Linked DNA regions of Mus musculus. Each later gene encodes a partner of the first gene's protein in a complex. Links are inferred from orthologs where the notes say so. Each region holds a gene or a part of one and is shown in the gene's direction. Other genes may lie near its edges. The genes, in order: Tprkb, Lage3 and Gon7.

The links.
Region 2: Tprkb (region 1) and Lage3 share a complex: the UniProt entries of both Homo sapiens proteins name them as parts of the EKC/KEOPS complex. The link is inferred for Mus musculus from reciprocal best matches to the Homo sapiens genes TPRKB and LAGE3.
Region 3: Tprkb (region 1) and Gon7 share a complex: the UniProt entries of both Homo sapiens proteins name them as parts of the EKC/KEOPS complex. The link is inferred for Mus musculus from reciprocal best matches to the Homo sapiens genes TPRKB and GON7.

Annotation. Positions count from the first base shown.
Region 1 is NC_000072.6:85,922,098-85,925,747, forward strand, and holds part of Tprkb (EKC/KEOPS complex subunit Tprkb), read left to right. Parts: intron 1-1,035; exon of another isoform or gene 1,036-1,119; intron 1,120-2,262; 5' UTR 2,263-2,284; coding exon 2,285-2,425; intron 2,426-3,650. UniProt on the Homo sapiens protein: Component of the EKC/KEOPS complex that is required for the formation of a threonylcarbamoyl group on adenosine at position 37 (t(6)A37) in tRNAs that read codons beginning with adenine.
Region 2 is NC_000086.7:74,351,614-74,354,945, reverse strand, and holds Lage3 (EKC/KEOPS complex subunit Lage3), read left to right. Parts: upstream 1-1,327; 5' UTR 1,328-1,418; coding exon 1,419-1,621; intron 1,622-1,943; coding exon 1,944-2,072; intron 2,073-2,447; coding exon 2,448-2,562; 3' UTR 2,563-2,784; downstream 2,785-3,332. UniProt on the Homo sapiens protein: Component of the EKC/KEOPS complex that is required for the formation of a threonylcarbamoyl group on adenosine at position 37 (t(6)A37) in tRNAs that read codons beginning with adenine.
Region 3 is NC_000078.6:102,754,948-102,759,077, reverse strand, and holds the start of Gon7 (EKC/KEOPS complex subunit GON7), read left to right. Parts: upstream 1-1,267; 5' UTR 1,268-1,332; coding exon 1,333-1,537; intron 1,538-4,130. Other genes in the region: putative E3 ubiquitin-protein ligase UBR7, read right to left, coding at 900-1,049; Gm20604 (AK010878-Moap1 protein), read left to right, coding at 1,333-1,537. UniProt on the Homo sapiens protein: Component of the EKC/KEOPS complex that is required for the formation of a threonylcarbamoyl group on adenosine at position 37 (t(6)A37) in tRNAs that read codons beginning with adenine.

The DNA of each region.
Region 1 (3,650 bases):
GCTGAGACTGTTATGCTGAAAATTGAGCACGTCCTTGTACATGCTTGAAGACTGATCACTAAGCCATTGACTCCGCCAACATGAGAACTTTAAAAAAATATTTCTTAATATTTATTTATTTATTTTACTTATATGAATACACTGTAGCTGTCTTCAGACACACCAGAAGAAGGCATCAGATCCCATTACAGATGGTTGTGAGCCACCATGTGGTTGCTGGGAATTGAACTCAGGACCTCTGGAAGAGCAGTCAGTGCTCTTACTGCTGAGCCATCTCTCCAGCTCCCACATAACAACTTTTTAAAAAAAAAAGTTTTAAAATGTATTCTTTTTTCATACAAGATATCCTGACCAAAGCTTCCATTCCTTCCAGCCCTCCCCCATCTCTCCTCTCCCATAGAGCCATTCCTCCCATCTCCCTTTAGAAAAGAGAAGGCTTCCCAGGGATATCACCTGAACATGACACAACCAGATACAGTAAGACTAGGCAGAAACTCTCACATCAAGGCTGGGCAAGGCAACCAGTAGGACCCAGTAAGAGGAAAAGGGTCCTGAGAACAGGCAGAAAACTCAGACACGCCCACTCCCACTGAACATGACAACTTTTAGCCCTATTTAGTCACACCAAACCTTGCCATTGGTTGAATAGACTATTCTCAACCTTTCAAGATGATAAAAAGGACATCTTATTTTATCATCATCAAACTTCCAGTTTTCCTCAAGAAAGAAAACTAGAAATGGATCTGACAGATAGAAAAGATGACTAGAACCTAGCAGACTGGCTAAACCAAAGAAAGAATCAGTAAGGTGTTGGTGCTGGAGATGTCGCTCAACAGTAGAGTGTGCTTAGCCTTGCAAAGGCCCTAACTTCTGTGTCCATCATTAAAAAGAAAACTGATGGTTGAAATTGTTCTTAAAATGTATGTATTTTTCTGTAATGTATAGCATGTCTGCTGTACCCAGGGCATCATTCACAATATGTGAGACCTCATGCTGAGCACAACCCCACACTTCCTTTACATTATTACATTGTAGGTGGGAGCCAGCGCAGCTGCTGAGAATTACTTAACAACTGTATGTTCTTGGTCAATTCCATGTTGAAATATATGTCTGAGTAAGGTATGGTATTTGAGTATAAGTTATTTTTCTTAATATTTGTGACTGGGCTTTGTTAAAGTATAAGTAAAATAGACTAGGAAGGATACGGTAATGAAGGTCTCACTACTGTGGTAGGTGATCTGTGATCTGTCATCTCCTGGCGTCCTGCATCAGGTTGGAGTCTCTGGAAGATCACGCACAGAGGCTTCCCACCTTCCCAAGCAGGGCGCCAGCCGCTCTCCACCCCCACCCCCACCCCCGGAAATGGGAGAACGAGAAACAGCTCGGCACAGTTAAAAACACGCCTTATAAAGATGCCAAAGATGTTCTGGAAATGGACTTTTCTACTTTAGGAATTCTGTAGTTAATGAAATTAATTTGTTAGCTCCAACTGTCAGCCTGACATAGTCTCAGAGTTACCTGAGAAGGGACTCTTAATTGAGGGATTGTGCAGATCCTGTTGACCCATTGACCTATCTATGATGGGCTGCCTTGACTCTTAATTGTTGTGATGTAGAAGGGCTTAGCCTACTATGGGCAGCACCATTCCCTGGGCAAGTGGTCCTAGACTGTATTAACAATCTAGTTAGTTAAGCAGAAGCCAGCAGCTGAGTGTTCCTTTGTGGTTTTGAGTTCCTGTAATTATAAGCCACATAAGCCCTTTCCTCCCCTAAGGTGCTTCTGGTCAGAATGTTTCATCACAGCAATAGAAATAAAGCTAGAGGGCTGGAGAGATGGCTTAGTGGGTAAGAGCACTGACTGCTCTTCTGAAGGTCCTGAGTTCAAATCCCAGCAACCACATGATGGTTCACGACCATCCATAATGAGATCTGATGCCCTCTTCTGGGGTGTCTGAAGACAGCTAGAGTGTACTTACCTATAATAAATAAATAAATCTTTAAAAAAATAAAAATAAAAAAGAAATAAAGCTAGAGAAGAAACAGGGAAGTAGAATGCAGGGATTTTGTTAAGATGGTTACATCTGAGTGTGTTTTCATAGCACTTCTAGGGCTTGAGGGGCAGAGGCAGGAGGATGGAAGTACAGAGCAAGTTATAGGACAGTAAGACTGTCAGGTGAGACAGACAGACGAGGAGAAACTGGGTGGAAAAGATGGAGGCAATCTTTTACATATAAGAACCTGATGACCTTTTGTTTTTGTCCAGGAGAGTCCTTCTTGTCTACGAAATGCAGCTATCACAGCAGCTGGACTTGTTTCCTGAATGCAGGGTGACCCTTCTGTTATTTAAAGATGTAAAAAATGCAGGAGACTTGAGAAAAAAGGCCATGGAAGGATCTATTGATGGTTCATTGATAAACCCCAATGTGGTAAGTACAAAATATGGGAATGAATTAACCAAGGCAGACATTTAAGAATATGTTCATTTTACCTTATAATTCTTTTATATTCAGGTAAAAAGTGTTTGCCCAAGTCACACTTTGGTGTTTTAAAATAATAAATAGAGTCTAAAATGCTATATCCTGTCTTAGGAAGGGCTATGGCCTAGCTGTGAGCACATGTATGTTCTGGCAGATGCCTGAGTTTTGTGCTTCTCATACGTGAAGTGTGAGTCTGCAGAAGCACCCTAGTGTCTTAGTTACGGTTGTGTTGCTGTAAAGAGACACCATACCCAGGGCAGCTTATGAAAGAAAGCATGTAACTGGAGGCTGCTTACAGTTTCAGAGGCTAGTCTATGACCATGATAGTGGGGAGGCGCGCGGGGAGGGCGGGCGTAAGAGCTTACATCTGGCCCACAAGATGGAGGTAGAGAACACAAGTGGGCCTATTGTGGCCTTTGGGGTTTCAAAAGCCCATCCCCAGGGACACTTCACACCCTAGTGGCATCAGTGAATCCTCAGAGCCTATCTCCAGTGACACACCTCCTCTATCAAGGCCACATCTCCTATGATGGCTCTTCTTAGTCCTCAACCTGACTACATCTGGAGTGAACTAAACCCTCCAAATGGCTGGGCATACCTGTGAGGGGATCTTTGCTTACGTGAATCATCTGAAGTGGGAAGATCCACTTCTAATCCAGATCTTTGAGGTGGGACGACACACCTTTAATATAGATCTTTTGAGATCGTAAGATCCACCTCTAATCTGGGCCACACCTTCTTCTCGGAAGCCTATATAAAGGACACGGAAAAAGGAAGCTCTCTCAACTTCTTATAAAATAGGTCTCCTACAAAATAAAAAATAAATACTTCAAGAGAGAAGAACCAAGACACAGTCACAGTCAAAGCAAAATCAAATTCCAATTGTGTAAACAACACAATGTCCAGTATCTGGGATCCACTCATGATCTTCTGAGCTCCTTCAAAGGGCTTGCGTTACTCCAGCTCTGTCTTCTGTAGCATGCACAACATGTCTTCTAAGTTCAGGAAGCCTCTATTCCACTGCTGCTGCTATATACTGGCATCTCCAAGATGCTAGGATCTCCTGCAACTAGGCCACACCTTCACCAATGGCTTTTTCTGGCCTCTCTCAGTGCCAAACCTCAGCTACTCTCCATGACCCCTTTATGCCTCCAAAACCAGTACTATCTGGGTC
Region 2 (3,332 bases), on another chromosome or scaffold:
TGTAAAAGAAAATCTCAGGGCTTTTGAAGGTGTTCAAGGAGAGGAGCTGGAGCTGCTTCAGTAATTAAAACTTGCTGCTCTTGCAAAGGACCTGGATTCAGTTCCCAGCACCCACATGACAGTTTATAACCACCCACAACTCCAGTTACAGGATTCACATAGATACCAGGACCTGCACACAGTAGGTGCACTTATATACAAACAGGGAAAACACTCAAACACATACAATAAAAATAAATACATTTAGCTGGGGTGAGGGTTGTGTTTTAATCCTGGCACTCAGAAGACAAAGGCAGGAAGATCTCTGAGTTTGAGGCCAGCCTGGTCTACAGAACAACTTCCAGGACAGCCAGACCTACATAGAGTCTCTCTCTCCTCTTTCTCCTCTCTGTCCTCTCTGTCCCCCCTCTCTCCTTCCTTTCCCGATCCCTCTACCACCACCCTCAACAGGGCCTCACTATATAGCTGTCCTAGAACTCACTATGAAGACCAGGTTGACTTCAACTTCACAGCCACCTGCTCTGCCTCCAAAGTGTCGGGATTAAAGGCATGTAACCCTGGCTAAGAGAACTTATCTGGAAAAATAAAGAAACCTCTTGCTTGCTGATACTCAAAATCTCATTTCACTTCATTTGTTTGTTGATGGGGTTTTCTGTTTTGTGACTGCTTTTGAGATGATATAAATATGTAAGTCTGGATAGCCTAGAAGTGGTTATGTAGATCAGGCTGACCTCCAACTTAAGCAAAGAACTATTCCCACCTCCTAAATCAGTGGTTCTCAACCTTCCTAATGCTGCAACCCTTTAATATGTTCCTCATGTTATGGTGACCCCAACCATAAAATTATTTTCATTGCTACCTCATAACTGTAATTTTGTTACTGTTATGAGTTGTAATGTAAATATCTGATATGCAGGATATCTGATATGTGACCCCAACTTGGGTCAACCCACAGATTGAGAACCATGGTCCTAAATGCTAAGATTTCTTCAGGCATCACCACACCAGGCCACTTGACAGTTTTTTGGTTTGATAGTGTTTTGGTTTTTGTTGTGGTTTTGTTTTTTAGAAAATATCACCTTAGGTCCCTTTTAGGAAACTGTAGGGACAACTTGGCATGGTGATGCACTTTGGAGGCAGAAGCTGACCAGATCAACCTATAAATCCCTGGAGAGTCCTCCTGCCCACCCCCACCCCCCCCCCCCACCGCTCCTCCCCGCCCCGCCTCCCTCCCCCCCCCCCGCCCCTCGCCCCTCCCCGGCCCCACCACCTTCCCCGTTCGCGCAGGCGCGTGTGGAATGGCAGCCTGTGCGAGGGGCGGAGCTTCCGGAGGATAAGGCGGGTTCTGGGCCGCAGCAATGGCAGAGGCGGCGGGCTGGTAACGCGAAGGTGGGTTGAAAGGAGGAACAGCAGCAGACATGCAGACAGCACACACAGGTTTAAGCCACACTGCAGATGGCGCCGATGGTCAGACTAGCCGCTGTTGTCCTGGTAATGCAGGCACAAAGGCAGTTATTCCCAGTGGAGCTCACCCTGTTGCAAGAGCACTGGAAGCCTCCCGAAATTCCAGCAAAAGCATGGTGCCTTTAACCCAAAGGCCTGGAACCCGACATCACAGATTGTATCCTACCGGACATGGACATATCTGCGGGATGCTTGAAACAGGGAAGCGGGTAGTCTGGAGGAGGGTAAAAAAAGAAAGAAAAGAAAAGAAAAAAAAGCAGGGAGGAGGGAAGCAGAGGGACCCGCTGATTGGGGTATGGCCTGGGCATGAAAAGTTCCTTGACAACAGAGGAGGGGCAGCAGGGTGGAGGGAAATGAGCAGGAATGGCCCAAGCAATGTGGAAGATATAGCCTGGGGAGCTTAGACCAGATGCGATGATTTTAGAGGGGTAAGGAGGCAAAGTTGATTCAAGATGGTGCCTTTCCTGAGTCTCTACCAGCTCCCTCTTCGTGCCTTTCCCGACCTCTTTGGAGGCAGAAATCGCCTGTGGGTCCCTAGTTCCAGATGTCGAACCACATCGAGGACTGGTAGGGAAGGAGCTTAAAGTGAGCGGCTGCATGCTGGAGGTGTAAGTGTTGAAAGAGTCTAGGATGCTGGGTAGGTGTCTGGGCCATCCTCCACCCTAGGCTGCACTTCCTCAGAGACATCATCACACTAGAGTGATTTTTAAGGAAAGGCATGATGCACTGGACCAGTCTAGTCTCTACCTGCAGTACAGTGGATGCCTGACAGATGAAGAAAGGGTAGGAGCCAAGAGAAAGGCAGATGGTCTGATTACTGTGAGTTCCAGGCCAGCCAGATCCACATAGCAATCCCTAAGCCAACCATGGCTACATAGTGAGAGATTTTCTATCTATTTCCAAAAAAAAAAAAATAAATAAAAGGAAAGAAATAAGGGTAGAAACTACCAGTTTGAATTTGATGTTCTTTTCCTCACTCTTAGACGCTGGATCGCGGAAGATTCTCGCCTCCTCCGACTTTCCATCATCAACTTTCTTGACCAGCTTTCCCTAGTGGTGAACACCATACAGCTCTTTGGGCCCCCAGTTTCCTGTTAAGCCTGGCTGGGGACCCATGTCTGACCTTATCTCCGTCTCCTCCTAAGCAATACAATTTTCCCTAGGGAAAAGATTCTAGAAATAGTAACTACTACATAAATGTGGGGGCCTAATATTTTTTTCCTGATTTGGTCCTCAGGCACTTAGGAGCCATTTGGTCTGGTGCTTCAATGTTTGTTGCTGAAGAAAATAAAGCTATGTTGCTAATCTGCATTTGAGCTTATTTTCAGCCTCTAAATTTTCTTTGGTTTTTATTTTGTGTTGGAGGAGGGGCTCTGGAATTCAGGTGGTTTCTTTTGTTTGTTTTTTCTTTTCTTTGTTTTAAAAAGATTTATTTATTCATTTTTATGCATATGAGTACACTATAGCTGTACAGATGGTTTTGCGTCTTCATGTGGTTGTTGGGAATTGTATTTAGGACCGCTGCTCGCTCCGGTCAACCCCATTCGCTACGGTCAGCCAGCTTGCTCCAGTCAACTCCGTTTGCTCAGTCCCTGCTCACTCCAGCCCGAAGATTTATTTATTATTATACATAAGTGCACTTTAGCTGTCTTTAGACACACCAGAAGAGGGTGTCAGATCTCATTACGAGTGGTTGTGAGCCACCATGTGGTTGCTGGGATTTGAACTCGGGACCTTTGGAAGAGTGGTCAGTGCTCTTAACAGCTGAGCCATCTCGCCAGCCCTTTTTCTTTTTTTTTAAGACAGGGTTTCTCGTGTAGTCTTGTCTGTCCTGGAACTCACTCTGTAGACCAGGCTGGTCTCAAACT
Region 3 (4,130 bases), on another chromosome or scaffold:
GATATGTTAAATAGGCACAACAGCAGAGTCCAGGGTTTGAAACCTAACAATGATCCTCCAAATTTAAATACCAGCGACCATGCTGTGACTACTTCTGGGATACAAGATTTATTCAACAATTTTACAGTGCAAACCCAACTTGGTCAACGAAGACAACTAGTATTATGACTTCAGTCCACGCCACACCATAACTCCAAGTCCCTTCACTCCTACCCCAGTCTCCCACTCCACCCATGGGCATAGTTAGCCTGTTTCCTTCCACCAATTCTCATCCTTGTTGTTAAGTTTCCTTCCTACCCACCCTTTTCCACGTTAGTACTTAAATGTACAGTATGCGTCACTAAACACTACATCTCAGCCCCTCAAACTCTCTCGTTCAAAAGGTCCCACAAATGCCAAACAGATCCTTTTCTCCTCTTGGCTTTCCAGTCCCCAGAGAGAGGGGATGTCACATAGCACATACACACGAAACTTCATTTAACCAGAAAGGGGGTGAGGTGGGGGCAGCTAGCAGTTAAACTAGACTACAGGAGTGTCCGGAAGCCGAACCTCACCGGAAGATTTTCAAAGCCGGCCCACTTTCCCTTTACTTTTCCCCATCTGGTCCCTAATTAAGATTCTTGGGCGGTGGGAGAAGTGGAGCGAAGAATATCTGGGTTTGAGAGATCACGAGAACAACCTCGTGAAAAGCAGGCCACCAAGAGGCGACAACTGGAGGACCGGAGCCTGCAGTGTACCATCAGCGGAACCGAGGGACAGCCCTGGTGGCGACAAGCTGAGGATGAAATGGCAGCCGGGCCGGGGCTGTAGAAGCACAGAGTAAAGGGCCGCCGTGAGTGGGCCCGGCCGCGGCCAGCGGGAAACAGACAGGACGGCGGGAGCAGCCGGGCCGCGCGCACCTGCGAGTAGGAGCACTTCTCCGAGTCGCTGCCGCCCAGGACGGCGCACGCCTCATTCTCCAACTCCTCGTCTTCCTCGAGCACGTCCACCAGCGACACCACGGGCTCCAGCTCCGCCTGGCACTCGGTGGGGCTCTCGGCTCCGGCCATCCTCAACTGTCACCGGGCTCCGCTGCGTGGGCCCAGGAGGAGGCGGGAAAAGTGGCCGCCGCCAGGGGCGTCGCGAGAAGGCGGGGCCCCGTGAGGAGGCGGAGCCCGAGCACCAGACAGCCAATCCTAAGGAAGGACACGGAAGAAAATGGGCGGGCCAATTTCGGGAAATCGGAAGTCATTCCTCCTCCTCCTCGCCTCTCCCGCCCGCCCCGGCCGCAGGCTGGCTTCCGCTTCCGGGTGGCGTTTCTCCGAGGCGCGCTGTTGAAGCTGAGTGGTCGCCATGGAGCTTTCGGGCGAGTACGTCGGTTGTGACGGGGAGCCGCAGCGGCTACGAGTGTCCTGTGAGGCGTCGGGAGACGCGGACCCTCTCCAGAGCCTGTCGGCGGGCGTGGTCCGGATGAAGGAGTTGGTAGCGGAGTTCTTCGGGACCCTAGTGGAGCAGGACGCGCAAGGCTTGGCGGAAGATCCGGACGACGCTTTGGATGGTGAGCGCGGGGGCGGGGCGCCGGGGGACACTGGCGGGACCGGGCAGTGTGAAGGGCAGGCTAGAGAAGGCGAGCCCCGGAGAAGAGGAGCAATCGCTTCTAAAAATCCTTAGAACTCGCTGCCCTCTTTGTCTGATATCCCACCGCCCCCCGTTTTTGCGACTTTTCCCACCAAAAAAAAAAAAAAAAACCGTGGCGAGCGTTGGACTAGGGACTGGTCAACGGACGAAGTCAGCTTGACTCCCTTGCAAAGAACGCAAAGGATTAAGATAGGCAGAGAAAGTGGCGGTCTGTAACCATTGCTAGCTGGCACGAAGACCCGAAAGGGCGGGAAGGTAGACCTGGTTGTTGAAAAACGGAAAGGAGTGAAATTAGAAACGAGAAAACGTGTTTGACAGAATGAGGAGAGCTTCGAATGACCGAGGCCCACTTTGTTTTAGGGAATCTTAACCCTCTCAGTTTTGTAGCTATTGTTTCGAAAGTAAAAGAGTTCTTTTTAGTTTAGCTTTTTGGTATTCTTAAATTAATTGATCGTTTCATTCATGTATTAATGCATTCAGGTCATGGTCTCTATCCCCCGCTGAACCCTTCTCGACAGGGCTCCTCGCCTTTCTTTCCGGCCTTTTTTTGTCACTGGATTTATTTAAGGATATTTGTATGATATTTACTGGAACTAGGGCAACACAGCAGTGACTAGACCACTGAAGAAAAACAATGACTCCCCCGCCCCCCATTAACCGCCAACCGCTCCTCTGAGAGGGGTGGCGCCTCATGAGCCCCCCCCTTCCTTGATGGAATGTTTACGTTGCCATCTTGTGCTGCCAGAGTTTAAGGGCTATATAATGTCCGAAAGCACTACAGCCCTTCCCGTCCTCTTACTTTCTCTCACCCCCTCTCCTGTTGTAGAAATTAACTGTTAATTTTGGTGGCTTGGGGTTTGTTTGCTTTTAAAGATGGATGTTTACCTGCATGCTTGTCTGTACACCTCTTATGTGCAGTGCCTTCGGAGGCCAGAAGAGGGCATCAAATCCCCTGGAACCAGAGTTACAGATAGTCAAGAGGGTGCCTCGTACATGCAGGGGAAAAGTAGGTGGTGCTCTTAACCACGGAGCCATCTCTCCAGCCCTAGCTCTGTTAATAGGAATAAAATTATTTTGTAGACATTGTCACCATGTAACGGTTAAACCAGCCTCGCTTTGGATTTGCAGAGACCTGCCAGACTCTGCCTCAGCAGTGCTGGAATTAAAGAAATATGCCACCACACTCCACTGTTGTTACATTTATTTCTAATCTTGAATTGAACACCAAGATAGATGTTTCATTGTTCTGAGCTAAGGAGTCAATTCTTCTGCAGAGGAGATTAAACTTCCGTATTCTTTATAATATAGTTATTGGCTGTCATTAAAAGGAACAATAAGGGGCTGGTGAGATGGCTCAGCAGTTAAGAGCACTGACTGCTCTTCCAAAGGTCCCAAGTTCAAATCCCAGCAACCACATGGTGGCTCACAACCATCCATAATGAGATCTGACGCCCTCTTCTGGTGTGTCTGAAGACAACTACAGTGTACTTACATATAATAAATAATTTTTTTAAAGAAACAATAAAAAGTATTAGCTAGATGTATTATTCACGGTTCTTCAAAGGAGCAGAGCTGATAGAATAAGTGTGATATAAAGATATTTATTAGAATGGCTTATGGCCTGTGATCTGAGTAGCCCAAAACTGGCAGTCTCCTGACAGAAAGGCTAAGCATCTGATAGTTGTTTGGTCCATGAGACTGGATGTCTCAACAGTCCCAATCATGTACTGGAGTTCCTGGAAAGTCTTAAGAGAGCTGCCAGTTTTCAGTCTATGTTGGAATCCTAAAGAGTAGGTTCTAACACCAACAAAGGAGTATCTTGGGCCTCTCAGTAACAGGATAGATGAACTTGATAGTCAGTGAGGGCAAGCAGGCAAAAAACAAAAGCTTCCCTCCATATCTTTTCACCTGGGCTGGGCAAGTTGACATTACTTGTCATTCTAAGATAGGACAGGCCACATTGTTGGTGGAAGTGTAAAGTGGTTATCTTAATTATATAGTTAGAGAAGAGCCTAGCTGTATGGCCAAGGTATTTGGATATATATTTTGAGTCTGAGTCTTATTTCTGGGAGCATTGGTCTAGGAGGAGGAACTGGAATCAGACTTCTACAAAATGATACCCTATGTTGGGTGCCAATAGGTTGTAATAAATTAGGAGTTTCTACTCCACCTTAGATCATTTAGTTCTCAGATTAAAAGACTTCTATTACTGTTTTATAATATGTAATAATATGGGTTTTTTTTTTTTTTTGGTTTTTGGTTTTTAGTTTTTCAGACAGGGTTTCTCTGTATATCCCTGGCTGTCCTGGAACTCACTTTGTAGACCAGGCTGGCCTCGAACTCAGAAATCCGCCTGCCTCTGCCTCCTGAGTGCGGGGATATAATACAGTTTTAATGCACTAGAGCTGGGCAAATATCTCCTTTCTAAGCTATTCTGAGCCACTTCCCCCAAAATAACCCCGGGTTATAACTTACCGTGTTCTATCTGGGCAGCTCTTAACTCCAACTGGCCT